Linked DNA regions of Arabidopsis thaliana. The protein of the gene in region 2 interacts with the protein of the main gene of each other region in a pairwise test. Each region holds a gene or a part of one and is shown on either strand. Other genes may lie near its edges. The genes, in order: NAPRT2 and AT5G52970.

Region 1 (17,404 bases), on a different chromosome or scaffold from region 2:
GTGTTTGAAGAGGAACGTGAAAATGGAGTTCCGACGCGACGGCGACGGCGGCGGCTCCGGCGCTCAAGTGGAGTCACAGTGGTCGCTGATGATTTTTTTGATTCATGGGAATTTGGTTTATTTGCTTCGTGACGTGTCAATTTTGGGGTCTTCAGTTATTTTTTTGCGTTGTCGATAAGGTGGGCTATTGATTTGACAGCTAGGCCCATTAAATCGAGTGGACATGGACCTTTAAAGCCCAAACTATTTCCCGCAAAGACTGATTTTCAATTTTAGTGCTGTAGAACTAGGTTTCTGAGATATTTTCTTGTATAGCAAGATATTGATTTTTAGTAACAAACTGATACATGCGTAGAAGGAGAAGCAAAGACATCACTGATTTTATCCGATTTAAAGACATATATTACAATGAAACGTGAAACAAAGAGCAAGTAGTTTGATAGAAATTATAGATGAATAAAGAGGATGAAAGGTGGATCACACGCGACAACCAAATCGTCTTTCCCTGCCCTGATACGAAGCGAGGGCCTCTAGAAGCTTATCCTTATCGAAATCAGGCCACAATACCGGCGAGTAGAAAAGCTCGGTATAAGCAAGTTGCCACAAGAAGAAGTTACTAATCCTTTGTTCTCCACTTGTCCTAATCATTAAATCAGGACTTGGGAAGTCACTACAATTCGTTAGAAGCTCTCTCTCGATCAATGCCTCGTCTACATCTTCCTCTCGGATCAACCCTTTTTCTGATTTCTTCACAAGACTCTTGCAAGCATGCATGATATCAAATTTCCCGCTGTAATCTACTGCCATGATGAGATGCTTATTCTTGTAGCCTTGGTAGCTTCCTCTATCTCATGGATTTCTTTGAGGAGAGATTCAGGGATCTTCGTTTTATTCCCGATAACAGAAACGCGAACTTCCTTTCTGTAACAACAAGATAATTCTTGGTAATGAATAACCAGAGAGAATATGTCAAAACAAAAGAATCACAATCGAATTTGTATATATACCTTTGAAAGTATTGAATGTTGGACTTGAGGTAGTGGTTGAACAAAGACATTAAGCACTTAACCTCAAACTTATATAATAACAACAAAATTTGTTAGTGTCTATAATTGTATGAGAATATAATCTACTTGTGAGATCTACAATGTAAAATGTCACACCTTGTCTCTTCCCCAATTCTCTGTGGAGAAAGCAAAAGCTGAGACTGTATGAATACCCAACTCGAAGCAGACCTCGGCTATCTCTATAATTCGTTTAGTTCCAGCCTCGTGGCCTTGTGCCGTCGTCAATCCGTCTCGTTTGGCCCATCTCCGGTTCCCATCTAGTATGAATGACACGTGTCTCGGCATCAGCTCTCTTTGTAGCTCCTCCTCTCGGACAACACAAGTTGCCTCATCACTATACAACCAAAAAATTATTGCTAAAACACATATATATTGTCCAAAAATTCTTCCGATGTGGGATAATTCTAACAAAAGGCTCTCTCTATGTGTACTTGTGTAGTATAATTTCTGTTGATAACTAGATATTAACTAGTGATTATAAAATTGAAATTAAATTATGATTCTCTTCTCGGGAGACTTTCAAAAATACCATTTATATGATGTCACTCTTGTACAAAACATTTTACAAATTATAGATTTACAAAACATTCCACAAACATAACTTACTAAAAACTAAAAGTATGATTAAAAAACCGTAAACTACCGTTTCTCGTTGTCATCATCGTCTCGAGCGGCTTTGAATTTGATGAGTCCAAGGAGTTTTGTCAAGAACACAGGGAAACATATATAGCTTGTGATAAAGAGACAAGGGATGAGAAACAGAAAGGGGAGGGCTACTAGAGTAGAGAGAAGAGACAACATTCTTGTCCTTGCTAATGCTTAATTTGGCTTTGCTTTAATGTTAATTTGTTCGAGTTATTGAAGCTTTGTCATACACATATATATACTAAGAATTCAAAGACGTCGCTTTGATCAATCAAACTACGCAAAGACAGGTCTTACGTATTAAACTCTTCCGTGGAGAATCATTTATATTAAGTTAATCGATGTTTGTAACGGTTTATCTATCTTTTTCCAGCTGCATTAGGGCTTTGAGAACCCACGTGATTGGTTTCTTGTGTCACAAGACTTTTATTGGTTTCTTGTGTCACAAGACTTTTATTGGTTTCTTGTGAAACAAGCCTTTTTTGGTTTCTTGTGTCTGGTGCTTCTGAAGAGGATCGGAAAAGGAGACCCTTCTGTGCGCGACGGTGACTTTAGGTTTTGATTCATGGATTTTTGCTTCGTGACGTGTCACTCTCTGGGGACTTCAGTTGTTTTGTGTGGTCGAAAAGGTGGGCTAATATACTTTGATTTGACACTTAGACCCATTTAATCGAGTGAATTTGGATCTTTATCAATCTATTTCCCGCAAAAAAAAAGTGAATTGGTTTGAAGATGTTTTAATTAAAAAATCAGAAACTTTGCCTAGTTTTGGGGTGATGGTTTGGAGTTTTAAATTGTAATGTTGTTGAACTAGAGGAATCTGAGGTATTAAAGTTACTTGTTTAGCAAGTTATTGGTTTTAGTAACAACTGTCAACTGATACATAAAACATGCGTATAAAGCGAAGCACGGAGAAAGAAATAAACGCATCACTGATTTTATTCGATTTTTACCGACACAAATTACAATGATACGCAAGAAGTTTGGTAGAAATTACAGATGAACAAAACATAATAGAGAGGATGAAAGGTGGATCAAACCCGACAACCAAATCGTCTTTCCCTACGCTGATACGAAGCAAGAGCCTCTAGAAGCTTATCCTTATCGAAATCAGGCCAAAATACCGGCGAGAAGAAAAGCTCGGAATAAGCAAGTTGCCACAAGAAGAAGTTACTAATCCTCTGTTCTCCACTTGTCCTAATCATTAAATCAGGACTTGGGAAGTCACTACAATTTGTCAAAAGCTCTCTCTCGATCAATGCCTCGTCTACATCTTCCTCTCGGATCAACCCTTTTTCTGATTTCTTCACAAGACTCTTGCAAGCATGCATGATATCAAATTTCCCGCTGTAATCTACTGCCATGATGAGATGTTTATTCTTGTAGCCTTTGGTAGCTTCCTCTATCTCATGGATTTCTTTGAGGAGAGATTCAGGGATCTTCGTTTTATTCCCGATAACAGAAACGCGAACTTCCGATCTGAAACAAGAAGAGCTTGCTAATAAATGAGCTTACCAATATGTTAAACAAATTTTTTTTATTATATTTATATTTTATACCTGTGGAAGAATTTGATGTTGGACTTATTGCGGTAGTGTTGGATCAAAGACATCAAGTTATCAATCTCAATCTTAATAATAACAACAAATTGTTAGAATCGATAATTGTATGAGAATGTAAGCTACATACTTTTTCCAAAATGTCACACCTTGTCTCTTCCCCAATTCTCTGTGGAGAAAGCAAAAGCTGAGACTGTATGAACCCCCAACTCGAAGCAGAGCTCGGCGATATCTATAAGCCGTTTAGCTCCCGCCTCGTGGCCTTGTGACGTCGTCAATCCGGCCCGTTTGGCCCATCTCCGGTTCCCATCCAGTATGAATGCCACGTGTCTCGGCATTAGTTCTCTTTGTAACCCATCCTCGCGGACAACATAAGTTCCCTCATCACTTCACAAACACAAAAAGCCAATGTTAAGTCATGATCCAACCAAAACTGTCTTGTTTCAAAATACCACTCTTCAAACACCAAATTTTGTTTTTGTCCATATTCAAAAATACCACAAACTAGATTTTCAGACTTTTATAAATATGGTATAGAAAGTGTTTATAAGGGTTTTATAACATGTGTGGCTAGAAATTGCTTATAAAGTTTACAGCGTGGATATAACTTAAAAGATTGACATTTTGTATGAAAAAATGTATATGTGTAACACACAGCAGATTAAGTTATTGCTAATTGGCTAAATGCATGCCAAATTTTATTTGAAGGTTGTAGGTTTTTAATGACAAGTTTGAAAATTTTAGTTAAGAGAGTACTAAAACATATAACTACTACTAAAACTAAAAGTATGATTAGAAAACGCGAACTATACCGTTTCTCGTTGTCTCGAGCAGCTTTGATTTTGATGAGTCCGATGAGTTTTAGCAAGAACACAGGGAAGCCTATATAGCTTGTGATAAAGAGACAAGGGATGAGAAAGAGAAAGAGGAGTGATAATAGAGAAGAATCAGAAGAAAGAAGAGACAACATTGTTGTGACAACTTAATTTGGCTTTGCCTCGATGTTTGTTTGAGTTATTGAGGCTTTCTCATTTACAGTATATATATTAAGAAATCAAAGACATTGATCAATCAAACTACGCAAAGACAGGTGGTAATACGTATTACACTCTTCCTTGGTGAAACTTTAATATCAGTTAATAGAAGTTTTGTAACGTTATCTATCTTTTTTCCAGCTGCAAGTTGTAACGTTTTGTAACGTATTACACTAGGGCTTTGGAAGTTGGAACCCACGTGATTGGTTTCTTGTGTCACAAGACTGTGATTAGCACCAATAATTTTAGAGAAATTAATTAAACTCTCTTATTTTTCTGGCCAATTACGAGTCTGGTTAAAATATATTGACCGAAAAAGGTCTTTATAAATTACACGGAAAATGTTGAGATGAGAAGAATCCAAAACTCTCTTATCACAGTATGTTAATTACCAAAAAAAAAAAAAAGGAAGTAAAATCACAGTGCTCGCTGATGATTTTTCTTAAATCATGGAACGTACATGAATTTGAATTCTTCCTCGTGACACTCTTTGGTTGACATTTTTAACCAACAGAATTGTTTGCAGTTGAAACAAGCTTTTGAGTTTTGACCGTACAAAATTAGTCGATATGCTATACGAAGATCTCTATAAGAAAGATCTGTCGAACCGAGTAGTTTGAAAGATAGTTAAGCCTGCTACATGTGCAGTGTTCTCCAAGAGAAAAAAAAAAACACAAGAAAACATGGGGCAAGTTCATGGAGTGTTAGACAAAGAGAAAAACGTGTCGTAGTTAACATGTCTTAAAAAGGCATGCAGATAAAGTTCATGACAGAAGGATTTCATGGTAAACTATGGTCGATGTATATGCCATCATCATGTGGAAAATGAATCATATGCTAGCTTTGTCAAATAAAAGAATATATAAAAGACATCTCGTACACAATATTATATTTTAGATTGAATAAATAAGAGTTCAGAATATTAATATACTTCGCTGCTCTTTTGCTACACCATAATACTGTGTTGAAACGTACATAACTACATATATGTGCAAGAAGATGTTATTATAGCCATTAAACTTGATCCTAAAAAAAAATCTTAATTATTTTTCTTTTCATCTTAAATACTAATTTTGTAACTCAATCTTAAATGTGCATATGCTTTTATCAAGTGTTTTTGATAGCTATATTATTTTAATTCTATTTATATGAAAAAAACATATACAGGTGGAAGATTTCTTTGTTGAAATGCAAGAAAAAATAATTTCTATTTGTTGAATAAATGTCTTAAATGGAGAAAGCTCCTTGGATATCATTGCATATGTTAAAATTTTCTACATTTCAACAAAGAATATAGAAAATTTCTATGTTTTTCTTTGTTAGTGTGACAGAATCTACTAAAAAATACATATTTTTATGCCAATGGTTAATATGTTTAACGTTTTGTGTTTTAGTGATATCATACAAAAGTTTCTAGCTAGCTAGATTTTTATGCCAATGGCTCTCTCCATTTTTTTATGATTAAATTTTCAAAAAACTAACAAGAGAACTTTGTGTATTATTTCTTGGTTTTTTATACTCCAATGGTAGGTTCTCTTAAAGGAGGTCTCTTAAAAAAAAAATATTCATATAAATTATTTTATTTCATACAACTTAATATTACAAAGCATAAAATATTAAAATACATTTTTTGGAAATATTATAAAATAGATGTGAAATAAATATTATAATGTTTAGTTAAATATATAATTTTGTCATAAATTATGAGCTAATTAAAACAAAATTAGTAAACCAAAACATTTAGGGGGATGTATTGGATTAGGGATTTTAGAAGATTTTTGTTTTTCTTAAAAACCATATCAAATCTAGTGTTATTCAAAAATTAAAAGGTTTTTGTTCCTCTACTCATCAACAAATTAAAATTCTTATAATTTTTTTTTTTTTGTTTGGCTTGAATCTGCATGACTCACTCAAATTAGAAGCCAATTACTATCATCAAATTAGAGATACATTTAACTATGAAGCGAATTACTATCACCAAATCATGAGCTATATGTGTTCCATAGTTACAGAGTCTATCACCAAAATACATAACGCCAACAAAACAAACTCCTAGTCTTGTACATCTATGAAGCCAATGACTCAAAACATACAACATAACCATCATGAAGCCAATTACTAAGAAAAAGCAACAAAAGAAAGAGATAGATACAGAGAAAAGAGAAAATACTTGAGCAAGTTGGGACTGAGTCAGCTTCTTGTCTTCTCGGGCTTGCATGATGGCTTTCTTCAACTTAGTGGGCACACGATCACCTGATTTTAAAACCATATAAAGGTGTTAACGATAACCAGCATTACGAATCAATCAAACACATATGTAGACTTCCTCTCGCTAATAATGCAAACTGAAGAAAATATTAATAACCCAAGAGAACAGACTAGATTACTAGAATGACTGTACCCAAGCAAAAGCTGGTTCTTATGGGATCCAAATCAACAACACTGATCCCCATGCAACAAACAATAAAACGAAACAGATCAATCAGATAACTTCTTCGTTTTCTAAAGAACCAAATCATCTACACAACTAAATCAATCAAAGCTTAGTCATCTTCCTATCTGACAATGCTCTGATTCGAGGGAACGAAGCAAGGGTTTGGTGGGAGATTGGATTTGGGACAAACACATATAGAATTGGGTCATCGATTTGGTGAAACGAACTCGGAATGGTGAGCAGCGTCGAGAGAGACGACCAATAGAGAGAGTGAGAAAATTTCCCGACGGAATGAAAAATAAAGACACAAGGATTTTTTGTTGGTTAAATATATCAACCAACCACTGACTGCCACGTAGGAGGCTCTCTCCAGAATTATTTGTTTTGATTATTTTTAATCAACAACTTCAAGAGAACCCTATCAAATTGTGATACTCATATCATGACACTGACAAATAAAAGAGACCATGAATATGGTTAGGCCATATGCGATATGGCTTCAAAAACCAAGTTGGGACAATCTTATGTTTAGTCTTAAGTTTGAGTTCATTTTAATTCATTTTAGATACTATTGTTTGATGTAAAATTAAACTTTGATAAATAAATGTACCTAAATTTGGATTGATTTTTTCATAATCATGTTTAAAATTTTTGGTGTTATGCAATTCTGTTTTGTTTTGTTTTTCCATAATAAGCATCTGAACATTTTTACAATATTTATATATTTTAAGAAACTGAAGTTTTAAGATGTATTAATCTACATTAACCTTTTCTATTTTAATGTTAACAAATATTATATATTATAAGTACAATATTCATCAAATACTATAACATATATGTGAAATGTAAATATTTACTACTAATCAAATATCATACTGCATATTTGATTGCAAAAGAGCTAAAAATCATTAATATTGCACATTAAAAATAGTCAATAAACTAAAATCATTAAATACACAAATATATCATAACACAGCAAGTGTGTACCATTATTAATCAATAGATTTACGCTATACAAGTTTTCCGAATTATGTATGTGAAATAAATCACACCAAAAAAATGTATTTGAAATGAAAAAATTCCCCGCCTCTGTAATTTAAGTTTTTTAGATTAAAACAGCTAAACTCTTTTCATTAATTTATTAGAGATACAAGATATTGTTATTTGTTACCAATACCAATATGTAAATTTTTCTGAGTAATTATTATAATTAGTTGAATTTGGCTACCATATGCCAATTTTCAACACATAAAATTCTTTTAAACGTGAAAATTCCAATAATCTAAGAGCCAACAACCACGAAAATTAAACCTCGTTTTAGTCTAAACTCTAAAATGAGAAATAATTAGAAACCAATAAAGGCTCTTAAAGAAAGACTAGGTCAAGTTCAAAGCAAGTTTTGCTTTGTGTGGTGGTCGTCGTCTCTTTCTTTAAACACACTTGTTTTTTTCTTTTTCCTTTGACCACTCCAATATAAACAACCAAGAACCAGTGTTCCTCGTCCATTCACTCTCTCGTAATCACACACACACTCACTCATACGAAGCCAATTGTTCCACACAAATTGGAAGCGACGACAATGGAGCCGAAAGAGAACGGCTCAGAATTGGGTCAGAAGATCATTGACGGACCAACGAATCCAATGGTCACACCTTTACTCAATGATCTTTATCAATTCACCATGGCTTATGCTTATTGGAAAGCTGGCAAACACAACGAACGATCCGTGTACAACACACAATCTCTTCTCATGCTCTGCTTTTGATGTTGAATTCTGAATGGTTTTGTATATTTGAAATTGTTTTTGTTTCCTTTTCAGTTTCGATCTGTATTTTCGTAAGAACCCATTTGGTGGTGAGTACACTGTGTTTGCTGGATTAGAAGAGTGTGTTAAGTTCTTAGCCAATTTCAAATTGACTGATGAAGAAATCGATTTCGTTCAAGAGTGTTTGCCTGGATCTGAGGTATATCAAAAATCTGTTTGTTTTTAGATTGTTATTGATTAAAGTTTGGATTTTTAAATCAGGGTTTTATGTTTGTGATTCAAATTAGGAAGCTTTTTGTGATTATCTTAGAGGGCTTGATTGTTCTGATGTTGAAGTTTATGCAATTCCGGAAGGATCAGTTGTTTTTCCTAAAGTACCTCTCATGAGAGTTGAAGGACCTGTTGGTGTGAGTCTCTTTGTCTCTTTCATTTGTGAAGATTGTTTAAGGAATAGTTTTCTTGAATGAATGATTCATCAGTTGTTGTAAAATCTCCATAGGTTGTTCAATTGTTGGAAACTCCATTCCTCAATCTTGTCAATTTTGCATCTTTGGTAGCTACTAACGCAGCTAGGCATCGCTTTGTTGCCGGAAAATCTAAGAGTCTACTCGAGTTTGGTGCTCGAAGGGCTCAGGTTTCCTATAAATCTCTCTCTTGTTTTTTGATATATTGCCTTTTGTGTTGTTCTTTCCATCTCTGTCTGATGTTATTAGTGTTGGAATCTTAGGGTCCGGATGGTGCAATAAGCGCATCAAAATATTGCTACCTTGGAGGTTTTGATGCAACAAGGCAAGTCTTGCTTTTTGTTTTTGTTGATCTGGAAGTAGGTGAAAGGGAATGTGGAAATGATGTGTTTTGTGTTGTTGGGTATTTTGCCAATGACAGTAATGTAGCAGCTGGAAAACTTTTTGGGATTCCTCTTCGTGGAACACACTCTCATGCTTATGTTAGCTCATTCATGGTCAGTTCACTTCAGCCAAAAGTTTCAATTTTTATGTGGAGGTTACATACTTGAGTTAGCTAGTAGAGACGATAACACAAAGTTTCGTGAAAATAAGATATTCTTGTCAATGCCTTTGTTGCTATAACTTTATTAGCCATGGTTCTGATGCACACTTAATATCCTCGCTCATAACAATATCACAAAAGCATTTTCGATATAATTAGTTAACTTTGGATTGCAGAGTACTGATGAGATTGTTGACAAAGTACTTCGTAGTGCTGATGGGAAAACCACGTGCGAGGATTTTGTTAGTCATGTTCAGACATGGTTAAAAAAGATTCAGGTTTGTTTATTGCACATTTTGCTCTTCCTCTTCCTGTTTTCTAGTCTCAGGACCATTGTTCTATTTCTGCTTCAACCCTTTGCTTGAATCTTTGTCACAGTTTTTCTTATGTTTTGTTTCTTTGTGGATGACAGTATTCACCATCTCTAAGTGGCATTTTCTCTGAGACAAATCAAAGCGAGCTAGCAGCTTTCACCTCATATGCACTGGCATTCCCCAAAACTTTTCTTGCCCTCGTAGATACATACGATGTGAGCATTAAACACCATAGTAGATAGCTCATTTGAGCCTTAGGATTTCTAATAAACTCTTATATTAGTGTTTTGCTGACTGTTTTACAGGTGATGAAGAGTGGAATCCCTAACTTCTGTGCAGTTGCTTTAGCACTCAATGACTTTGGGTGTGTAAGAATCTCTTATCAATACCCGATCGTCTGACTTGACTTTGTACTTCTTCAGGATCATATGGAATTTGAGATGCAATTGATGTTTATTGTGCTGCGCAGATATAAAGCATTAGGTATTAGACTGGATTCAGGTGATTTAGCTTATCTATCTAGAGAGGCCAGAAATTTCTTCTGCACGGTAGAGAGAGAACTAAAAGTGCCTGGTTTTGGGAAGATGGTCGTCACTGCTAGTAATGATCTAAATGAAGAGACGATTGACGCTTTAAATAAACAGGTGACTCCCTAACCCACTCTCAAATGCCATGCCCCCGAAAGATTGATTATTATTAAGCAGTGTTTTTTCTTTCATCTCTATAGGGACATGAGGTGGATGCTTTTGGCATCGGGACCTACTTGGTCACTTGCTATTCACAAGCGGCCTTAGGTTGCGTTTTCAAACTTGTGGAGATAAACAATCAGCCTCGGATTAAACTTTCTGAAGATGTTACAAAGGTTAAAACTCTCTCTCTCTCTCTTGGTGTTCTGAACATTCAATGTCACATTGCACTTAATCTGATTATCATTCTGATTCGTTTAGGTATCAATACCGTGTAAAAAGCGAAGTTACAGATTATACGGCAAAGAAGGTTACCCTCTGGTAGATATAATGACTGGAGAGAACGAACCACCTCCAAAGGTAAAACGAAAGATAACTCTCTCAAAGATTTTAATCTCATTACCTTATTGCATTTTTACATAATATCTTTCTTGATATCAAAGGTTGGTGAGCGTTTACTTTGTCGTCACCCATTCAACGAATCCAAAAGAGCATATGTAGTGCCACAACGTGTCGAAGAGCTCCTCAAATGTTATTGGCGTGGAAGTGCAGGTAAAGATTTTCCGGTACCGTAGAGTTATTAATGACAATGCTTTTCACTGATTATTGTTTCTCTATACCAATGAAGATGAAGCAAGAGAAGTATTACCGCCTTTGAAAGAGATAAGAGACCGTTGCATCAAACAGCTCGAAAACATGCGACCTGATCATATGAGGAGATTAAACCCAACTCCTTATAAGGTATGGTTTTATCCGACAAACATGTTTTTCAGTTTCTGAGAAATCTGTGTAAATGTTTTTTTCTCTCATGGTTTACAGGTTAGTGTAAGCGCAAAGCTGTACGATTTCATCCACTTCTTATGGCTAAACGAAGCACCTGTTGGTGAATTGCAGTGACAGAACAACCAAAAAGAAGAATCTGGTTTTGGTTTGGTGTAATGTATATAATTTATATACCACAGCATCACAAATATGCATTTTTTTCACTTTTAGTTTCTTTTTCTTACAACATTTTGATGATCTCTCATTGTCGTAGTAAGTTTCATTTTCTTACTGAGGAAAGAAACTCTCTGCGTTCACTGGAACTTTGTTTTCAACTGATTCAATAAGATTTTATATTTACAGCTGTAAACATACTGGAGACTGTAAAAACATTTACTCAAGTCAACGATTTTGGATCAGGTTTAGTTTCGTCATATGGTTGACAACTTACTGTTGCAAACGGATTGGTAAGCAGTTGAGTTAATTGAGTTTTTTCTAGCAGAGATTTGAAGAACATTACCTTTCTTCAAAAACTTCTTTAGGCGTTACTAGGACGTTTGGGGTGGACCTAGTCACTAACCACATATTCAAAATTCATTTCCAAAAAGATGAATTATGGAATATGAGAATAGAAAAATACAACAGAGTAAATGAGGAGTAAAACTTTATTACAGAAACTTACCAAACAGTAAAAAAAAATATGGAATATAAGGAAACCATTACTTAACGAAAAATCACTTAACAAGAATACAAGATGACTAAAAATGACAAGACGATAATCCATCCAAATTGAGGTTAAAAACAAGTGATAGTTTTGGTCTTATACAACAGAGTTATACAAGTGTAACTTTGAATTCTTATGGTCTCCAAATAGCCATGGCTTCGAGGGCAGGGCACTCGATATGGGCGTGGGTTTTCTTGGATGAAAGTTAAATTTGTTGATATAAAAGAAACACATAGTATACACAAAACTGGTCGGGACCAATACTCTTTTTTTTTTTGGCTCCGTTCATATTTTCAAAACAACAATTCTTTAGTGAAAATTAATAGATTGATTAAAGAAAAAAATGTTGAGAAAACATGAACTTTCATATTGTTGACGAAAAAAACATGAACTTTTCAAATGTCATTTAAATCCTAAAGTTTAGTTTGACTTCTTAAAAAATAGTTAATTTAGTTGACTTGGCCATTCCAAACATATCTTTAAGTTTCCCTTAACAATATCACGAAAATAAAACAGCCCTCGATGAAAGAATTGTTTTTGTTTATTTGAGTCCCTCATTTAACCTGTTTGTGATCTGAATTAAGCTTACATATACAAAATGGTCCATGATCATTTGTTTTGAAGATTTTCTGAAATGGTCCATGAAAGAGTTTTGTTTCCAAGTCTTCGGATAATTTGTCTAGTTACAAAATGGTCCTGCATCATTTGGAATAATGTATTTATGGCATTATCTCAAAATTCTCTAACCATTGGGCCAGTACAGTATGCCCTTTACAGATCTAAAGTTTTATTATATGCTAGTATTATTATAATTAAAATTTTGAAAAGTTTCAAACCAAGTTTCGTGTGATAGAATGTTTGTGATTTGTTATTAATCAATAAACTTTAAGAATAACAGAATCATCTTGAAATTCTGATTGGTCGAGCTCAATCATATTCGGTGCTGAATATGAAACAAAAAAATTAGTTGGTGTGGTTAGCTGACATGGTTGGTACGATTTTGTTCAACAAAAAACTGCACTGAAATTGTCGATTAGTTAATTTAAGTAGTAGAACAATAATAACTAATTTCATAGTACTTTTTAATCCATATCAAACGTTGTAAGAAATAAAATTCTAAAATAATTTTAAGCGTTTAGGGCGGTAAGATAATCTACCAAAATGCATTTGATGTTTTTGGTTGAATATTATTAAAACGGAGAAGACAAAAAAATGAGTGTGGTTGTACCTGTGTGGGGATAGAATTTTATCAGTCACCAAAAACATAAAAATGTACTAAAGAATATGCTAAAAGATACACAAGATTCGAAGAAGAGGTAAAAGTAGAGCTAAAAGACACGACTTTTCTGGGCTCTAAAATCTGTTAAAAAGCTTTCTTCTTTTTCTGTGCAATTTCGTACTTCTAAAAACATTCCTCCTACAAATCTTATATTTCCAAATCAACAAAATAAAATTAACTTATTCCCTGAAATATTAAAATCTAAAAAGTTAAAAAAAAAACCATAAACTTCTTCTTCTTCTTCACTCTAACTTTACCCATTCGTAACGTCCTTCTAATGGCTTCTCCTTCTCGAAATCGAAATTGTACCTAATTAAAAAAAAATAAACTCACTCTTAATTTTACCTCAAAATCAATTTTAAATTATGAATAAAAAATATATTATCTATAAAAATCAAACTCACAAAATAAAATAAAAACTTACTTCTTCTTGAATTTTTCTTTGAGTTGTTTCTCAGCTTCCACAAAAAAATCTTCAATTTCCGATTCCGTTGGCATCTCCGTCATCAATTTCGCCTTCTCCTCCTCCTCCGCCGTCACCGTCTCCTCCATCGTTTTCCTCCCGCTACAACAACAATCTAACGATTCTTTAACCGCCGATTCAAATTCCGATGAATAATTCTCCATGGATTTACTTAATTCTTCTTTCTCCTCCTCTCTCAGATTTTCAAAAAGCTTCCTCTTCGTACCCCTAAAATAACTCACAAGCAAGATTCTAAATTTATTGAAGAGAGAGTCAAATAAATAACCGGGAAAATAATAAAACCTTCAAAATTCAAATCATTTTCAGTTTTTTTTTTAACACTCACCGTCGATACGTCGACGTTTCAGTGTCACCATCTTTATCTTCCTCCTACAAAAATTTCAAAATTTCAAAAAAAAATACATTAACATTAAATGATACATATACAGTTACAAGAATCTAGAATCAACAACATTAAATAACCTCCAGATGTATTAATTCTTTCTTCTTATATTCATTGCTTCCACTACAAGACGACGAAACTCCATTATCACCGACGACGGAGACAGAGCTTGATTTTTCCGATCTAACATAAACAATTCTCCGGCTCCGTAGCTGCATATACGTTGACGAAACTCCAGCTTCTACAATTCCTTTAGCTTTTCTATATTTTCTCACCATCTTCGATTTAGGTTACGTGTGCGTGAAGTCACAATCTCTGTGAGAGAGAGAGATATGATTGAGAGGATGAGGAAGAAGAAGAAAGAAAGATGATGAATTTGGTTTTGAACGGTCAGGATTGAGTTTTGTGCTGTGTGTGATAGAGAAATGGCGTGTTTTAGTGGTCCCGTTACAGTGACGGGGAATCTTTAACGGGGAAACTGGAGGCGCCGTTATTTGGATGTTATGGAGTTACTTATGCCGATGGTTTGTTTTATTGACACGTGTCGGTTATAAACGGTGACTTAACGGAACGGGAGGCGTAATAATTGTGGTGTAACTAACTATTTTAAAAACCCTCTCATCTATTGGTAATTCACAGATTTGCCATTACGCGAAACCGTTTAAAATGTTTTAAATTATAATTGACAAGCTTTTTGTATAGTTGGGATGAATTTTATAGTTTAGGTAAAATTAGAAAGTTCATATTACTTTAAAATGAATTGGATAGAGACTATATATAGATTATGTGTATAGTATAGGTGGATTGTTACGGATAGCCTAAAAACTACGTACCTGTGAGTAAAATAAGGTAAAAGTAAAACTGACACTAGAAATTATATTTTTGTTATCCCTGCGTATTTGCTTAGCCTGATGTCAAGTTGTCAACAGCACGTGTCGATCGTGATATATTGGGCTTAATAAGTCATAATATAGTAAAGGTTTCTAAGAACTAAACTTGGCCTCCATCACTTCCCATGGGCCTTGTCAGCCTTTCTATGTTTTGTTTTTGTCTCAAAGCATGAACAAAATGGAGTGGCGAGTGCATTCAAATTACCATGTCTTGCTTTAAAAATTAAAAATATTTTTTTTTTCACTGAAAGATAAATATATACTTCATAATTTCCAACCAAACATACAAAAAAATGTGGATCAAGGACAATCATTCTAGATCAACCAGTATTACACTAGGCATTTTTTTCTTCCTCAAAAAGTTGTTTTAACCAAAAAGAAAACCTAGTTGCTACATACGATTAACGGCGATCATTTTTTGTTACGCTCTTGGCAATAAAGTGAGCATCAAGATTAGATCTCCTTAACTCACCAAGCAATTTTCAATCCAAAAAATTCCCTAGTTTCTCAATCAAAAGAAGGGACTGAAATTTACATGAAGGTCATGCAGACGACTTTTGTTTTAATTGAATAACATAAAACTTTTACTCACTTTACAAAAAAGTATGAATCTATAACCCTAGATTTATAAAGATATTAGAAAACTTTTTATAAATCTTAAATTAATAACAAAGAACTTTAATAAACTTTTTAAAAATCTTGATTGAATAACAAACGATTTTACATAATCGTTAAAGTTCTTTTAAAATCATAAACCAATAATACCCCCTAAATATTTAATTTATCTCCTCAAGTGTTGCGCCCATGTTATGTAAAATTTCATCCCTATAAATACATCAGATGGTCCAAGAGGTTTCATGCATCAATACATAATACATTTTCGCCTTCGACTAAATATTATAATTTAGCTTCTTTTTTTTTCTAATTCTCGTCTCGGTTTTTCTAGTAATGGCGACGATTAATGTTTACGTTTTTGCATTTATCTTTCTTTTGACTATTAGTGTTGGTTCAATTGAAGGCCGAAAACTCACCAAATTCACCGTAACGACGTCTGAGGAAATCAGAGCTGGTGGCTCTGTATTGTCGTCGTCACCTCCGACTGAGCCACTTGAGTCGCCGCCGAGCCACGGGGTTGATACCTTCAGACCTACGGAACCTGGTCATAGCCCCGGTATTGGACATTCCGTACATAATTAACGGAGAGGAACAATAGCATCGTCTATGTGATTACATGTTGAAAATATGATTGGCCTGGTGACTTTTTTTTTCTGAATATGTATTTACGTACAGTTTCGTCATATTCAGTTTCTTGCAAGTGTGATTGTAATAATATTTATTTGATTAAATTAAGATTGATGTAATCCATCTTATTTTAAAAGCACATACATTTTTTTATCAGGTTCCAATTTTCTCATATATTTTTCTATCGAGATGTGTCACTCGCTTGAACTAAGAAATTTTTCTATCGAGATATGTCATTCGCTTGAACTGAATCATACGTAACTCGATCTAATCACAAACCGATTTAGGAATAGAACTATAGAAGCAATTTCGATTACTTGTTTATGTCTTCAAAATCTGTACGTAGAACGAATAACTATCTTTGAAATAATTTGGTACAGATATTCCATATCTGCGTTTCAAAATTTGAGCCAGACATTATTTTGCATGGAGAAAAACCTAAAAGTTTGTATTACGTAATATTAGTCACTGAAAAACTTTAGTTTGTTTGTTAAAAGTTTTAGACGGATGTTAGTATTTGAGAAATAAGCAATATACCAAGTAAAAGATGGTTAAGAATTTAGAGACAAATAACGAAAACTGAAGCTATATTTCCATTAACGAAAAAGTAATCATGTATATCCATTAACATAATCTGTATTTCTTTTAACTAAATTATATATTTATAGCTACTACTTCAAAAATTAAGAAAATAAAAAATATTTCCAAAATACTGATTTACAATTCTCATACAAAATAATAATTAAGACAGTCAAGAACCTAAGAGTATCATTAAAGGGGGGATATTAGGGAGATATTAGGAGATTCTTAGATTGTAAATGATTAAATTTAAATGTTAATTGAGCAATTTTGCTTAGAGGCCCTCTAAGCTAAGAGATCCTCTGAAGTAAAATGTGGTGGTGACGTGGCATGATTTGGTTGGTTGGAAGAATAATATTAAAGCCGAATTTTTTTTCTTACCGTTAATTCTTCTACTATGTATAATAATTTATAATATGATAGTAGAAAACGAACGAGATACTTACACTTACTTTGATGTCTCTGAATTTGTACAACCGGAATCAACTAGAAATGCACAAGTGGATTTCACCTATTCTACATATATGCCTTCAAATCTCGAGAATATATT
Region 2 (15,655 bases):
GTAATATCTGATTTTTTCCCACTCTTCTAATTAGAGTTCATATGTTGATCATCTCTCTATCTTTCTAAAATAACGCAGGTTTTTAATGAGTTTGAAATCCAAAGTGTAGACCAAACCTTCAAAGAAGTCCTTAGAGAGAATATGTTTCTCGTTACAATAACCTCAACTATCATATCTCAGGTAAGTCCTCTTTACAAGTGAACACAACATTTGTCTTTTCTTATATATCCCTAAACCATATATACTCTCTTTCTGTTCTTTCATATCAGATAATCGTGATCAAGTTCGCAGGCATTTTCATTGACTTGAAAAAATGGGTGACGACAAGTCTTTTGGGGTTACTCAGGTTCTGCTCATAAACATCCTCAACTACTTTCTTTAATTTTTTACTCTTCACATTTTTTCTCAATACGTAAATTTAACCTTTTTTCAGCCAAGTCGCCACTCGCTACCCTTACCCAGCCATCCAATATCATCGTAACTGAGATTTCTCTTGCCGTATGGCTCAATTCTCGTAAGAAGTAAGAACCATTCACTCCCAAAGTCTCCTAATGAATCGCATATGACTATCTTATTTTAGATCTGGCAAGTAGTTTCTCTCAACTTGCAGTTCTCATCTCAGGTCAACTTTTGAAGCATCCCTCTAGCTTTGGTCGCTTAGGAGGCTGTTGTTCTCTGCGCGGGTGTGCGTGAGAGATTAAATAATGCGGATTATTGTGCTGTGTATATAGCATACTACAGTTTATTCAGTCAATTCATTTTCCTCTTGAAGATATGTCGAGTGAAATGCGTGAAAGTCAAACATTTAAGTTCTGTATCCATTTCCCTTTCAAGCTATGTAGACTGTAATGGGTGACAGTCATATATAGTATATATAGTAAGCTCTGTTCAATCAATGCACCTCTTCGTTTTCGATTCATGAATTGTTTGTTGGATGTTCCTAAATCTTTGGATCCAGCTGATTCACCGCGATTGAGGTGGCTTTAGTTATCGGTATCCACCATTCCTTACTGCTATAGGTCGATCGAATCAATAACACTACGACAATTCGGGCTGCTTAGACAGCGGGTGCGATACTAGTTTATTCATACTCCTACTCGTACAAAAATCAAGAAAATTTCATCTCCATTCAAATTAAGAAAAAAAACAGTAAACATTCATATACCATAGCCACAATCACATTCGTGGCGGTTTTACACTACACCCGCCGCACCTGATCTTTGACTTGATATTTTTATACAACTGAGTCGGTTTTTGACTTTTGAGGTTGTGGACAGATCTAACGGCTAATAGAATTCGAGTTATCTACTTCACCTGACGCGGCAAAATCTCAACCGTCCCTTATAAAGCTCTTCGCGGTTAACATTTTCTCTCCTCTGTCTGTGTGTACTCGTGGTAAATTAGTCAGATTTCGATTTGGAACCCTAAAAAAATTCAAAAGACGATCCTCTTCTCGAAGAAACTCGATTCTTGTGGATTCGATTTCATTAAGGAATTTTGAATTGTTGCCTGTGATGGGTGGTTTGGCTATGGAGGAAATGCCTTTATCGGTGCTATTCGAGCAAGCTAGGAAAATTCATCTTGCTGCTTCAGAGTCTGGTGTTGATCAGGTGGAAGCTTCTACCTCTTTTTTATATACAGATTCGATTAGGGTGTTTATCTGAAATGGGTATTTCGAATCCGAATCGCGAGTTTTTACTGAATTGGACATTTCCGGGGATGCTTAGTTCATTCTTTTCCTTTGGTTTGTTAGGATGTTGTGAAGAAAGGATGTGAGATGTTTCAGAAGTGCGAAGATATGATCGGGAAGCTGGCGCTGTTTTCGTCTAACGAGACTAAAGAAGATATTAGCACCAACAATCTCAAATATCTTTTGGTATGCAATTGAGTCTCTGTTGTTTGGATTTTTGTAATTTGTTTGTATTCTAGTTTTGTTATTAGTTTTGGTGTGGAAAGATCTGAAAGTGAAAAACTTTAGCTTGTCCTGATGCTTCTAGTTTTAGCTACTGACTGAAATTCAAAATGGAGTCTGAGATTTTGGATTGTAACGTTTTCCATTGAACTTACTCTGTGTGGAGACCATAAGATTGTGTTGAGATCATAAGATTGTGTTGCGAGTTGACATTTCTATAAAGTGACGAGGGATTATATTGTCTTGTGATTATAGGTGCCTTATTATCTTGCGGAGTTGACAGAGAAAATCATACAGGAGGACCGGATTCAGATTGTCAAAGCCTCGTATGCTAAGTTGAAGGTTAGTTTTCTGCTGAGTGTTTACATGTTTTTGTATCCCTTTGATGCTATTGCAAGTGGGAATGAGCATTTGGTTGGATTTTTTTTGAGATTGATGTATAGTTTTGTTATTGTGTCTAGGAGTTCTTTTCGTTCTGTGAGGCAATGGAGCTTGTTCCGGATGAGGAGTTGGAGGCTTCTTCACGAGGAGGTTCTGGTGCACCTGCTGATCGAAGGGCTCTCAAGGTAGATTCAGCCCTGTTTCTTTTGTTTATGTTCTGACGAGAATGAAGTTTAAAGTTTTCGGATTTTGAAATGCGTGTTGTGTCTTCATGATTATGGTACTTTGTAGATAGCTCGGTTCAAACGTCAAAAGGCTGCAGAGGCAAAGCTTCTTGAAATTAAAGAGAGGAAGGAGCGACGTGGACGTTCCACTAAAGCATCAGCTTTGTCGACTCCGGTTGAATCTGGAGAAGATGATATTCCAGATGATGACAGCGAAGAAGAGAGAGAGGTTTGTCCCACTTTTTGTTTTGCTGCTTTCTCTAATTCGATTTTTTCTTCTAAGCTTTCTTGTCTTATTGCTTTCCTCTGCAGGCCTGGCTCTCCTCAATTAACTTGGCTATTTGTAAGGTTTGTCTAAAAATCATTTCATTAGAACCCTATGATTTGTCACAAGTTGAGGAGGCATTATCTTATGATTGAACTTCGTTACAGGCTATTGATCTGTTGGAAATGCTAAAGAGAGAAGAGGAAATGCTCTCTGCAATAAAGGAAAGACAGTTGAAGGTAGCTTACCGTGGTGTTAGTTTTTTTAGGTGCGAACAAAACTATTTGATAAACATATAAAAGAAGAAAACGTGTTATGATATTTTGATCAGGATGGAGAGGGTGGATTTTCTCGGGATGCTCTTGATGATCGTACAAAGAAAGCTGAAACCTGGCACAGAGACGCTGCTGCAAGGATACAGTACTCTAAACCGGCACAACCAATCACTTGTGCCACATTTGCACAAGATGTGTTAGAAGGAAGAGCTTCGGTATCACAAGGTCACGAACACAAGAACCAACCTCTTATATTCGGTCCAGCAAGCATCGTGGGTGGACCGCTCTCTACCGAGAGAGAAAGAATGATAGCTCAGGTCTTCCAACCAAGTCACAGGTAGACACAAAATATTGCTCATTACAAAATCTTAATCCTTTTTGAGATTTAAAAATGGTGATTAAACTTGGGTTTTGTAGGATGCCAACAATGTGCATAGAGGATGCTGGGTTAACAGAGATGAACATAATGAATGATTGGCAAGAGCAGACGAAAAAAGCCATTGAAGAAGCAACCACCTCATGGTACAATGATAAACCTCTAAGAAGAAAAGAAGAAGACGAGGAAGATGATGATGAAGACGAAGAAGCTGTGATGAAAGCTAGAGCTTTCGATGATTGGAAGGATGATAATCCTCGCGGTGCAGGTAACAAGAAACTCACACCTTGTGGCTGAGACTAGAGACCGAGACACACATTATTTAACACTTTCTCCCTCTCTTTTGTTTCTTATTTCCAAAACCTCTTCGTTCACTTATTATAATGTCTGTAATGTAATCATCTTTCTACTCTTAAGCCTTAGACTTACAGATTTTGGATTCACGGATTCACTTTCATTTTCGTTGGGAATATTATTTTTAAATACGCCGACTACTAAAGATACAATGTATATATCTAGTAAAATACTAACGTGTGACTGGATCTGAGACCATCTTTTGTTGTCCTCTATTATTGTGTAACCCACGTTCAATCACAGCACCATTTATGGAATCAAACAACAAAAGAGAAGCGAGAAAAAAAAAAGAGATAATAACAACACACATTTTGCTTGTGAATGATTTAACTTCCAAAGTACAATTAACAACATCATTAACATGTAAACCAGGATTCAATCTATACCCTAGTTTTCCTCCTGGAAACAACACTTTTTGCGACTTTAAAAATCAAAGAAGATGAAAAAAGTTGACAAGAACAGAGAGATAACAAAAGGGATCAGATTTGATCCAAAAAAACGGATACCCAGAAAAAAGATGTCAAATGATCAAATTTTGATGCAGATTCAAAGAATATGAATTTGGAGATGTACACAGATGATGATAACTTTTACCCTTGAATGCATTGAAACCCTTCACAAATCCAAAGCCAAATTCCAAACAAAACAGCACAGATGCAGAAATCAAACATCAACACAACCCAAACATGTTTCTTCCAAATCTGTTTCGCCTTTTGTCTATGATGATGATCACTCAACAAACCATTTCTCAGTTCCTTGCGTAAGACTCCATTATTACCATTCCCACATAAATCAACATTCTTCTCTGATATCTCCTGAATCGAACCAACCTCACAAGAATCTCCCCCTTTTGCTTCATTATGCAATCTCTTCTTCTTCTTCAACGCCTTCAATGGTTTCCCCAAAAGTGGCATCAAAGCAGCTCTTCTTCCTTTAGATGAATCAATACTCGGATTTCGACTCTCTCTCGCTACACTCCTCGGTGATCCAACCAAATCCATATCCAATAATTCCAAATCAACAACACCAACAATCTCAGCGAAAACTGGATCAAGCTTCAATTGAAGACAATGAGAAACAGGATTAATCAGCGTCTCAACATCAGATCCACCGTCTTTAATCAGATCTTCAATAGCTGATCTCAAACGATTCAAAACCCAGAATGATTCAGGTTTCTCCATGGATTCATCAGAAATCGAGAAATAAACAAAGGAATCATCGTCGATTGCGAATGTATACGTCTTCTTGTGAACTGTATGAGAAAACATTGAATGATGAGGAGGCGTGTTCTCGATGCATCGTAAAGCTATAGCTTCGATTCCTGGCTCTTGCCTTGAAACGAACTCCGCGAGAACTACGGTTCCTTTCGCAATGCAAGTGTACGATAATAAACTTGGATTTGAAATCATCCTTTTCAATGGAGATCGAAGCGAAAAAAAAGAAGAGATCGTTTTAGGTTTTTGAAATCATTAGGGAAATGATGCGATCTCGATCGAATCAGAGAGGAGATCAGAGGATTTCTCTCTCTTTTTAGAAATACATGATCTCTTTCTCTTGCTCAATCCAATCTGTTTCAATGGAGATTTTTATGTTTCTCTCTCTTTTTAGGGTTTGCGAAAATTTCTAGGGAAAATAACAGAAATGGAGATCATTATTGGAGAAGACGAAACGAAAAAAAGATAGATACAGCCCAATAGAATATTTTGTTTAATGACTCACTTTTTGAAATTTACGATAATACCCCCATACTAAGCTTTCGTCGCCGTGATTCGAGTAATTCACACGTGCTAGGGTAATGCCACGTATCAAATATTGCCACGTCGGATAAGAGTCTTGTATTTGATACTTGTATAAGTCAGGGACCTAATCCAAATATATTATTTTGGACGTTGCTTAAAACATCGCGGAGAACCGACCCGCCTGAACAACGTCAAGTGTTTGGACCCGATCAAAGATGGATCAACCCGACCCGAAAAATGGCTCTGGTCTGATTCTCTCCGCCACTGAACCGCTGCGATCGTTTCTCGCTCTCGCCTCCGGTGATCGTCGTCTCTCCGACGAGCTCAGAGGAATTGCTTCCGATCTTCGCTCGAAGAACACCATTCCGTACAAATTGCTCCGCGCTATATGGACCGGATCCGATCCGTCGACCAGACCGGATTTGTTGGGACTTTTCTCCGGCTCCAATTTCGTCTTCACCAGTCCCAAACCCAGAGAAAAGGTACACGAACCTCCATTTCTACATCAAGTTTCTTTGCTGGGGAATTTCGCTATCAGGCTCATTTAATCTGGAATCCGGCGAAATTGGACCTAATTAGATTCTGTTTCTGCTCACTAATCTGCTGTTAATAGTTTCCACTGAAAGATAGATGATACTGAACTTGCTTGAACAATCCAGCAACAAAAGAGATTTGTCTTTTGGTATAGTTTAGAGAAATTTATGGAAGATTTCTAGTTATCTCTTGGTCAAAACTAGCACAAAATTGTGGTTTCATAGTTTTGTTCGATTCATATTCAAATCCAATATGCACAATTCTGTTGAATTGATTGGAAAAGTTGAGCATAATCGAAGAAACGTCGCCGCGGTTCTATTGAGTGTAATTCAAGGATGCTTCTGGGTTTCTTTCTTTGAAGTTTTCCTTATCTATGTTTAAACCTCTTCATGTCTCGCCATGTTTGATTTGATCTGATTTTTCGATTGATAGAGCGAAGAACTGAAACTGAGATTAGTGAAGCTCAGAGAAATAGCAGAGAGGAAGGAGTATGCTGAGCTTGTTAAAGATATAACACCAAAGAAACAAGTCGAAGAGCCTTTCTCTTCTTACAAAGACCAGCTCGGTTTTGGTAAGCATTGTCGCTCGGTTACTTTGTTCTTGGAAAAGTATTACACATTACTGAAGATTTTGCTTTTCTTGCAAACTCGTTTTATAGGTTTACATGTTGGTCTTACCATGTTCACTGGATATTTGGTTGGATACGCTTCCTTCAGAGCTTTATTCAACCGCAACCCCGCTCTGGTATCTCTCATTTTGTCAGATTCTGAAAACCATCAAGAGGATTTTTGTGAATCATGTTTTTCTTTTCCTTTCAGAGTGCTGCTGGTGGGATTCTTGGACTAGTTCTGGCGATGCTTGTGGAAACGCTTCTATTTATAATCAAAACGTCTAAAGATGATCAGATTCAGAGCTCTAAATCGTTCACTCAGAGCTCTCCATCGTTCACTCAGAGCTCTCCATCGTTCACTCCCACTACTAAGAAAAATCAATAGAACTTTGTTTGCATTCTTTTCCTACTGAGAAAAACTAAGAGATTTGTAGAGAATTTAGCTTGGTACCTGCCTGAAATGGAAAATTTTTGTACCCAAAAGACAAGAAGCACAATACTGTATTTAAGTTTTGTTTAAATAAAATTTGGAGTTTAAGTTTGTTTAAATAAAATTGGAGCTTTTTCATTTCTATCTTAATCTATAATATCCTTTTCTCTGCTTTAAGGATCTCAAAAATATTTGTGGTTATACTTACTATTCGTATATATATGACAAAGACACATTAGAAAAGATTTCGATGAATATTGCTACTTTATTGAGAAAACCTATAAAGAGGTCTCATAAAATATGAGTTCACATTTTGCCAACATAGAATTTAACTATAAAACTTAGGTTATTACTCTGAAGCTAACTACTAATTTAAAAGTGTAGATCAACAACCATTCTTGCTCTTAGTTGTGTGTAGGGGAGTTGGGGACAATACGAGCGCAGCTATCCTTGAGGAGAGGAGGGAAGAACGGATTCAACGGAAACATGTGAGGCCAACAGTTAGCATCTAAGGTCGAAAACGCCTTGCAACATGCGGCTTCGACATTTTCGAATTTTCCAGAGAAAATTGATTTGGCGATCTCGAGCACACATCCTTCAACATTGAAGAGAGACGACCAACATTTTACCAGATCAATAGGTAAGCCAGGTGGGAAAATTCCTGGAACCGTCGTCGGTGGTGTTTGCATATGAGCTACTCCTTGAGTGACAAAAATGGCAACACAAAGGGAAACAATCAAAATGACTGAGAGAATAGTTTTGCTTCCCATCTTTCTTTGTTAACCCTTTGATATGTTTTGTTTCCTTTTTGGTTTAGATGTTTGGATGCTTTTGGATTTAGCAAGAAAGGTAGTATTTATAGGATCACGAAACAAGTTTTTCTTAGATAAACCAAAAGTAACTCAAAGTGTAACAGATCAATTTTAAATGTTGTCTAAAAATGTAACTCATTTAGAGATTTCATGTATTGAATTTTCTTACATTAAGTTAGTTGACTAATGTAAATGTATCTCAACATGAGTCTGGTTTCGCTGTTACAATTTGAAATATCTTATTCCAGTTTATTGATTTTGGTTTCTCTATTTGTTTGTTTTAAAAGATACAAGTAACCAATTGAAACTGTTTGTTTGAGTAGGTGAAGCTGAGAAATGGAGAGAGGTTACTACTAGACGTGGATTCATTCTTACAAATTCTGTATCTCTTTGGTGCCAATCTATACAATGATATTATGATAATAACATATACGCTTGATGGGGTCATATACTTCATTGGATCTCTGCACAGTTGTTTCGACCAACTGGTTCTCGTAAGCAACTTGATATCGCCATCACTGCAGCTTCAATAGATGCATCTTCTCCCTGGTTTCAAGCCATATTGTAAACAGTTTAGACATGCAAACAAAAAACAAAGAAAGTGGCGATCATCGGTTTTTTTAATCGAGGTAGCTTTCTTGCCTTCTCTTTCCAGTAAAACATATTGCCGTATTTCCCAGCCAGTCGACTCCAGAAACTACGAGGTATGTCTAAATCAACCGTAGCTCCAACATTGAAATTCAATATGTTCCCTGTGTCAAATCCGGTTATCACAATCAGTTTCCCATTTGGATACTTCAAGAACTTAAGCAATGAGGTTTGGGGTGTTACCAAAAGTCGGGTCAGCGACAAACACAATTGTGCTATCATCCACCTGCCAGAAATCTTTGATTGCTAGTCCTGTTGCAAACACAGAGAAATGTCACTAAGTAAACTTCTATAGAGATCAAGTATGTTGTTTTCCAAGCATATATCATACCAGGGGTAACGGGATAGTTTTGAGCCAAGACTCTCAACTTGAATCCTGTATCTTTCTCAAGATTAGCGATTTCTTGAGCAATTCTCTTCTCCTATAACTCTCAAAGAACAACATCATTAAGAAAAGAAAACCAAAAGCGGCGAAAACATTCAAAATCAGAAATACACTAAAAATCTACAGAATAAGCAAATAGATCCACATGACATTAACAAGAAACAAGTGCTTTAATCAAACCTCAAAAATAGATGGATGGTACAAGCATGCATACCTGACCATTAGAGAGGAAATCAGCAACATCTATAACAGAAGTGAACTCTTTAGGAAGCAATTCTGGTTTGTTAACACCAACTTTTGCATCTGCAAACCCCACGCCTGCAAAAAGAGATTCAAAGTTATTGACAGCTAAAATCTTGAAATTGCATATGCATTGTTCATAGTTATGGAATAAGAGACTAGGTCCGAAATTTCACAATTCTGACTTTGATAAGCCAATGCAACAAGTAATTAAAGTCACAAGCTTGAGATTGCAGAGTAAACAAAAATTCTAACTTTGTGATATTTTAGATTGTTTTGCAACACATCCACATTGTTACTGAAATCAAAGAGCATGTTGTTCAATATTGAGTCAAAAAGAAATGATCTTGGTCAAAAGGAACAAAGAAACGTACCTGATAGAGATAAACCGAGAGCAAGAGCTCCAGAGAACACCAAACTGAGAGATTTCGACCGGAAACGTGAAACCCAGTTTTCTTCGTCGCCGGAGGTTTTCAAGGAGAGACGAGACGACGAAGAAACTTCTCTGGAGCTGTAGTTGAAGACAAAAGGAGAGAAGCTTCTACATTGTGAAGGAGGAGGTCGAAAAAGCATCGCCATGACTCTTCGTTACTCTGCTTCGTTCTGGATAACGTTAAAACGCTCGATATAATTTCGGTACAGAACCGAACCAACTAAACCGGAAATAACCATACTATAGGATCCATATGAGAAGGTTTGTTTGGTTATTGCATTTTGAGGTACGATTTTCCAATGTTTTTTTTTTTGGTCGGTTCCAATGTTTTTTTTTTTTGGTCGGTTCCAATGTTTTTCTTTTGTGCAACCAACAAAACACATTTATAAGAGTTATTATATAAAAGGAAAATATTGAAATTTTATGTCATTGAGAAAAACTATAAAAAGAGAACTCTTCCAAGATATAGTTCACATTTTGCTAACAAAATAAACATTGAAACTTATTAGACTTTGGAGCTAATGACTAATTTAAAAGCGTAGACCAGCAATAATTCTTGTTCTTAGTTGTGTGTAGGGGAGTTGGGGACAATGCGAGCGCAGTTGTCCTTGAGGAGAGGAGGGAAAAATGGATTCAACGGAAACATATGGGGCCAACAGTTAGCATCTAAGGTTGAAAACGCCTTGCAACATGCGGCTTCGACATTTTCGAATTTTCCAGAGAAAATTGATTTGGCGATCTCGAGCACACATCCTTCAACATTGAAGAGAGACGACCAACATTTTACAAGATCAATAGGTAAGCCAGGTAGGAGAAGTCCTGGAACCGTTGGTGGTGTTTGCATATGAGCTACTCCTTGAGAGACAAAAATGGCAGCACAAAGGGAAACCATTAAAGAGATTGAGAGAAAAGTTTTGGTTGCCATCTTTCTTGTTAATCCTTTTTCTACGTATTTCTTTCTTTCTTTTTGGTTTTATGTTAGACTTAGATGCTTGGGATGGTTTTGGATATCGGAAGAAACTTAGAATTTATAGTATCAGGAAACAAGGCTTTATTTGATAAATCAAGAGTAACATATCACTTTTAATTCTGTGTTCAATATGTAACTCATGTTTAAGTTTGATGTATTAATTTTCTCTCATTACTTTGAGTTGACTAACGTAAATGTAGTCTTGCTAAAGGTTTGAAACAGAAGATGTGAAAGTTATGCATCAGTAAATAAAGTCACCGATGCCTACACACCAAATTTCACATATTAGTAATAGCTTAGATAATGCATAGGTTCTTCATGTGGGATGCAGTAAGATTATCTACCTACTGGTTCCAAATGCGTATAATTTTCACATTCATTGTTCAAGTTTTGAAAGACCGTACCTGCTAAAGAATTGTGATAAAAATGGTTTTCGGATCAAACAAGCAAATGCATCATATAACGAGAAACTACTGAAAAAGCAAAGTTTAAGAACAAAGATACTCAAACAAACTCTTTTTATTCTTTAAGGTCCTCCAAGTATGGCATTCTCGGTATCTTCTCTACTCAACGCATAGCTAAACCTTCTTTCCATGTCTCTCTCTAGATTTCCCGGCCCACTTTTCATGTACCTACATAACAAGCAATCTAGTTAGTCCAACTTGGCGGGATTACACATAGAGAAACTCCAAAGGAAATGATCAGAGAACATGGCAATGCATCAACTTATTTGGTCTGTTGGATTGATACACAGAGACATTAAATTAGCTTCTAATTCTCAACTCCTTGGACTAAAACATCAAGATTAGATAGCACCAACAGCGGATGCAACCAACCGCATAACAATCGGTTCCGCACTACAAATACTGAACTAGGATTCACTTCACAATCATCTTCAAGAGGTTAATTCATCACACTATGCTATACTTTTATACTTATCCAAGCTAAAAACAAACTCTTCTTCTCAACATCAATATCCTCATTGTTAACACAACTAGCTTTAACTACACAATCACAAACACTTAAACTAGTTAAGAAATCATTCATTTAGGATACTAAAAACAGGAATTTATCAACAACATCTCAGAGCTGAGAACTTCAGGAACTCAATGAAACTACAAAAGCAATCAGCTTCATACCTAATGCAGAGATCAGTGACATCAAGAGATAGTTGAGCATGCCAATCAGGTTTCTGAATCAACCAAACAGCTCTATCGTCTTTACTTTGGTAAAACCCTAATTTCCTCAGCCACGCTTCGATACAAGGTAAGCTATGCGAATACAGTGGCTTGTTCTTCTCTGGTAGCTTCTTCAGCCATTCGTCCTCCGTATCTGACACCTCCTCCGCGTCTGAAGATTTTGAAGATACTAGAGTTAGAGGCTTCCTCCGAATTGTGGAAGAAGAAGAAGAAGCGAAACTACGACATCTGGGAGAAATCGAGGCTTTTGAGCTCAAAATGTGAAGAAATTTCGCAGGGATTGATGATTGTGCACATGGAAATAGAGCACTTGAAGGAACAAATTCAAATGCAGAAACACAGTTCATGATTACGAGAATTTTCTCCGAGAAAATTCCTGATTTTCCCAGGAAAATTCTTGCAGAAAGGAAAAATCTGAAGCGGAGGAAGTTTTCGTAATCTTTGTTCTATCTTCAATTTTGCCACGTCACCAAATTAAAACTCTTGTTGGGCCATTAATGGCCTTATGATGTAGTAGTAAGCAAGACCCAATAAATTGACAATCTAATGACGTGGCAATATGTTTCCCGCCAAAAACATAACCTCGTAGCTCACTCCCTCCTCTCTTCTTCAACCTCAAAACCAAAATCGAATCTTCTCTCTCTCTGCTTCATTTCAATGGCTGGAGATTTGTTATACGCCAAAACGCAGCGTTTTGTGCTTTTGATAGATCTTAATCCGCTTCTGATCAAACCCAATTCGGAGCAATACCTAGCCGTCGTGATCTCCGCCGCCGAGAAGCTTCTCTTATTTCCTCCTTTATCTGCTTCTCTCTTCTCTTTCAAATTCTTCTTTTCTTCTCTTTCTTCTCTCTTATCATCCTCAAAGCTCTCGTCACTCTCAATTTCATCTTCTCCGCTTTCATTTGACCTTCCTAACCCTACACTCGTCTCTCTCAAACGCGCCATCGACGCGGTTAAAGGATATGAACTTCGATCTAGCTCCACGGTGGCGACGGCGGCATCGCCTCGTGGGGTTAATGTCGCGGCGAATTTGCGACAGATTGTTTATGATTACGCTTGGGAACCGGTGGTTCGAGATCCGGAGATAGGTATGATTCCTGGATTTACTGATGGTGGATTAGATGTTGTGAGGTCGAATTTGGTTGTGATGTTTTCCCCAATTTCTAGGGATTTGGATTGGGTTTCTGAGTTTCTTGATGTTAAGAGTGGTGATGAGTGTTTTAGCGACTTGGATTTGTTTAAGTCAAAGTTAAGGGAGATTTTTTATTGTGTGAATGAGTTATTTGATGATAGAGATATTCAATTAAGCTGGATTGATGTTAAATCTGGAGATGAAAGATGTGAATTGGGATTGAAGTCTGGGTTTTTCGATAGTGGGATTAGAGAATTGGGTTGGGGGCATTGTTCTACTGATTCAATTGTTTTTGGTTCTTCAGTTGTTCCCTTTGGATTAATATATCCAGCAATTGGTATTTCCCCAAAGCTATCTACTAGCCAGAAATTTACCCTTCAGGCTAGTCTTGAGATTGCAGATATTAATGGTAAACCTATGGAATGCAAGTGTGGTGGTGAGTTAGAGTTTTCTTCTTCTGAAATATTTAGTGGGAAGAGGTGTGATGAGTTTATCAACTTAGCTAGTGGGACTGAGCCAGTCAATCATGACTCTCTAGTTGAACAGTTTTGTGATGGGAGTACCAAACTCAGTATTAAGGCCTTGAGGATGTGTGATGATCTTATTGAACTAGAGAGGTATACTTGCGATACTTTTGTTGTTCATCAAGTCTCCCAGGACTCTGATCAAGATCAGGAGGAGGAGAGTGCGTTTTGGGCTGACCTGGTTTTTCAGATATTAGGAAAGGAGACGGGTGAGAGAGTAGCCAAAAGATCATCACCCATTTGGCAGATCTTATTAAGTTATCTCTATAGGGAAGGTTTCTCAGCATTGGTATCTTTTTCAAATAGCAATGGTAGTTTGCGGACAGGAATCCTCAAGCCCTTCACTTTTTCCTCGGCCTTAATCTGTGTTTTTGACAATGGAGTGTCTCCTCAAACTGTGGATCATGAAGATAGCAGGAAGAAAGTCAGTTGTAGCGAATATAAAAGAAAACCAAGGAAAAATTCTCTTAATGACATTAGCTGGGAGGAGTTCTGCAGATCAGTGAAAGATTATGGTCAAATAGATCTAGAAGATGTTTATTTCTTCAAGTATAGCAAGTCGAAGAAACTTAAGTTTCTGAAATGCTGGATGAAACAGATTAGTAAACCCAGAGGTTGCAGCTTATCCGTGGCTAGTAATTGCAATGCATTGGAGGATGTGGACGCAAATCCAATTGAGGAAAAGAACAACTCCTCTGAAGAGACAGATAAAGCTAGTTCTCCTTTACCTCTAGCTGAAGAGGACATTGCTTTGAGTGGAAATCGTATATCCGGAAAGCAGGAAAGTAATACGTATGTTCATGCATCAGAATCATCAGAGAATTTCTTCGTTAGTCTTCCTAGTAAAATCAAGCAAGGGATAGAGTCTGAAGAAATAGACTTGTCAGCTCTTGCCGAGCGGCTTGTCAAGTCTTGTGTCTTCTACTCCTCTCAAAGAGCTGAGAAGGACTATAGCTGTGAGAGTGGAACCCTCTTGTTGGTCATTGACGAGCTAACCAAGATGTTACTGAAAGATCCGAAAGATTTAGTTGCCAAGTTCAAAAAGAAAGATTCATCATCAGTGGCTAGTGAGCGGAATTGTGATGAAGCTGGACCCAGTAGGATCGTTAGAGAGTATCCTTTTACTTTCTGTTTGGTTACAGTAGCCAACTTATTCATTTACTGATGCTTTCTTTTCATTTATCTAAGCTGAATTGTTTGGCATTGTTGTTCTGTTTTCTTTAATAAGCTATAAGATACGAGCTGCAGATTCTTTTCAGGATGGAGATTCTAAGATGTAAGAAAGGTTTGGGAAATGAAGAATCTGTGACACAGAAGTTTGCAAAACAGATTTGCATGTTCCTTGAGGGCATTCAGTGCAAGTTAGATGGCGGATTCTTTGGTGAATGGAGCCTTGATAAGTATGTAGACAAAACTATAAAAGCCAGGTATATAATGCCATTCTCAGCACGTATATTGTAGCTTGGTTATGTGTATTCATGCTAACGCATCTTACTTTTGCCCCTTCTCAGGTATCAGCATATTCTGGGAGGAGCTGTCAATATAATATATACAGAGATGGATCTGCTCATGTTCACTGATGAGGATCTTGAAGATAGTTTCATGAACAATGAAGACAGTAGTCAATCAGGGAGAGAAAATATCCATAGCAATTTCAAAAATCATCATCATAGTCAAAGTAATGAAGATGTTCCTGGTACGAGTAAGCAGAAAAACACTGAGGAAAGCAGAGAAGCTAAGAAAGAGGTTGAAGCACAAGGAATGAGGGAGAGGGCAAGAAGATTCTCGAGTTTCACAAGTTGGATGCCTGATCTTTGTAGAGTCTGGGCACCAAAACAAACGAAGAACTCTAAAGGCAAGGCCGACCAGCAACAGAGAACGGCCAAAAGAAAGAAGGAGCAAAGATCAGTGGAATATGATAGAGTATGTGAGACACCAATGACAACAATAGAGACCAAACGAATACGAACTGGTAACAAAGATGACTACGAATGTGAGACTTTGCCTCGTAGTTCAGTACCAAAGGCTTTGTTTCAGGATGATTGTTCTTAGGTACACTTACAAGTGAATGAAGCCTAAAAATGGGAAAAGAAAATGTATCATTAGAGTTTGAGTGGGATGTTCTTTGTTAGAGTTAGTAATTCAAACCCTATACGTAGATGGAATCTCATTGTACTTTTTTACAAAATCAGATATTAATACAAGAATGA

The links.
Region 1: the proteins of AT5G52970 (region 2) and NAPRT2 interact in a two-hybrid assay, tested with the Arabidopsis thaliana proteins (one large-scale study listed by BioGRID).

The regions. Positions count from the first base shown.
Region 1 is NC_003071.7:9,963,501-9,980,904, forward strand, and holds NAPRT2 (nicotinate phosphoribosyltransferase 2), read left to right. Parts: upstream 1-8,102; 5' UTR 8,103-8,318; coding exon 8,319-8,467; intron 8,468-8,558; coding exon 8,559-8,703; intron 8,704-8,791; coding exon 8,792-8,911; intron 8,912-9,003; coding exon 9,004-9,138; intron 9,139-9,231; coding exon 9,232-9,293; intron 9,294-9,389; coding exon 9,390-9,465; intron 9,466-9,688; coding exon 9,689-9,790; intron 9,791-9,924; coding exon 9,925-10,041; intron 10,042-10,131; coding exon 10,132-10,190; intron 10,191-10,295; coding exon 10,296-10,470; intron 10,471-10,553; coding exon 10,554-10,688; intron 10,689-10,773; coding exon 10,774-10,872; intron 10,873-10,955; coding exon 10,956-11,064; intron 11,065-11,140; coding exon 11,141-11,253; coding exon of another isoform or gene 11,254-11,292; exon of another isoform or gene 11,293-11,331; coding exon 11,332-11,409; 3' UTR 11,410-11,707; downstream 11,708-17,404. Other genes in the region: AT2G23400 (Undecaprenyl pyrophosphate synthetase family protein), read right to left, coding at 478-757, 802-921, 1,008-1,075, 1,164-1,401, 1,711-1,868; CPT (cis-prenyltransferase), read right to left, coding at 2,747-3,191, 3,272-3,342, 3,421-3,658, 4,084-4,241; ICK1 (Cyclin-dependent kinase inhibitor family protein), read right to left, coding at 13,520-13,586, 13,702-13,968, 14,087-14,130, 14,224-14,421; AT2G23440 (uncharacterized protein), read left to right, coding at 15,982-16,230. UniProt on the Arabidopsis thaliana protein: Catalyzes the first step in the biosynthesis of NAD from nicotinic acid, the ATP-dependent synthesis of beta-nicotinate D-ribonucleotide from nicotinate and 5-phospho-D-ribose 1-phosphate.
Region 2 is NC_003076.8:21,473,729-21,489,383, reverse strand, and holds AT5G52970 (thylakoid lumen 15.0 kDa protein), read right to left. Parts: upstream 10,003-15,655; 5' UTR 9,765-10,002; coding exon 9,560-9,764; intron 9,264-9,559; coding exon 9,160-9,263; intron 8,983-9,159; coding exon 8,892-8,982; intron 8,813-8,891; coding exon 8,744-8,812; intron 8,665-8,743; coding exon 8,555-8,664; intron 8,459-8,554; coding exon 8,366-8,458; 3' UTR 8,128-8,365; downstream 1-8,127. Other genes in the region: AT5G53010 (calcium-transporting ATPase), read left to right, coding at 79-180, 270-346, 434-485; TAP46 (2A phosphatase associated protein of 46 kD), read left to right, coding at 1,515-1,610, 1,754-1,876, 2,168-2,254, 2,374-2,478, 2,585-2,746, 2,830-2,865, 2,950-3,021, 3,114-3,394 and 1 more; AT5G52990 (SNARE-like superfamily protein), read right to left, coding at 4,378-5,196; AT5G52980 (ER-based factor for assembly of V-ATPase), read left to right, coding at 5,742-6,008, 6,493-6,631, 6,719-6,804, 6,879-7,055; AT5G52975 (egg cell-secreted-like protein (DUF1278)), read right to left, coding at 7,505-7,870; AT5G52965 (egg cell-secreted-like protein (DUF1278)), read right to left, coding at 10,181-10,543; AT5G52960 (tRNA dimethylallyltransferase), read right to left, coding at 11,115-11,220, 11,728-12,134; AT5G52950 (LIM domain protein), read left to right, coding at 12,445-14,558, 14,681-14,872, 14,957-15,497.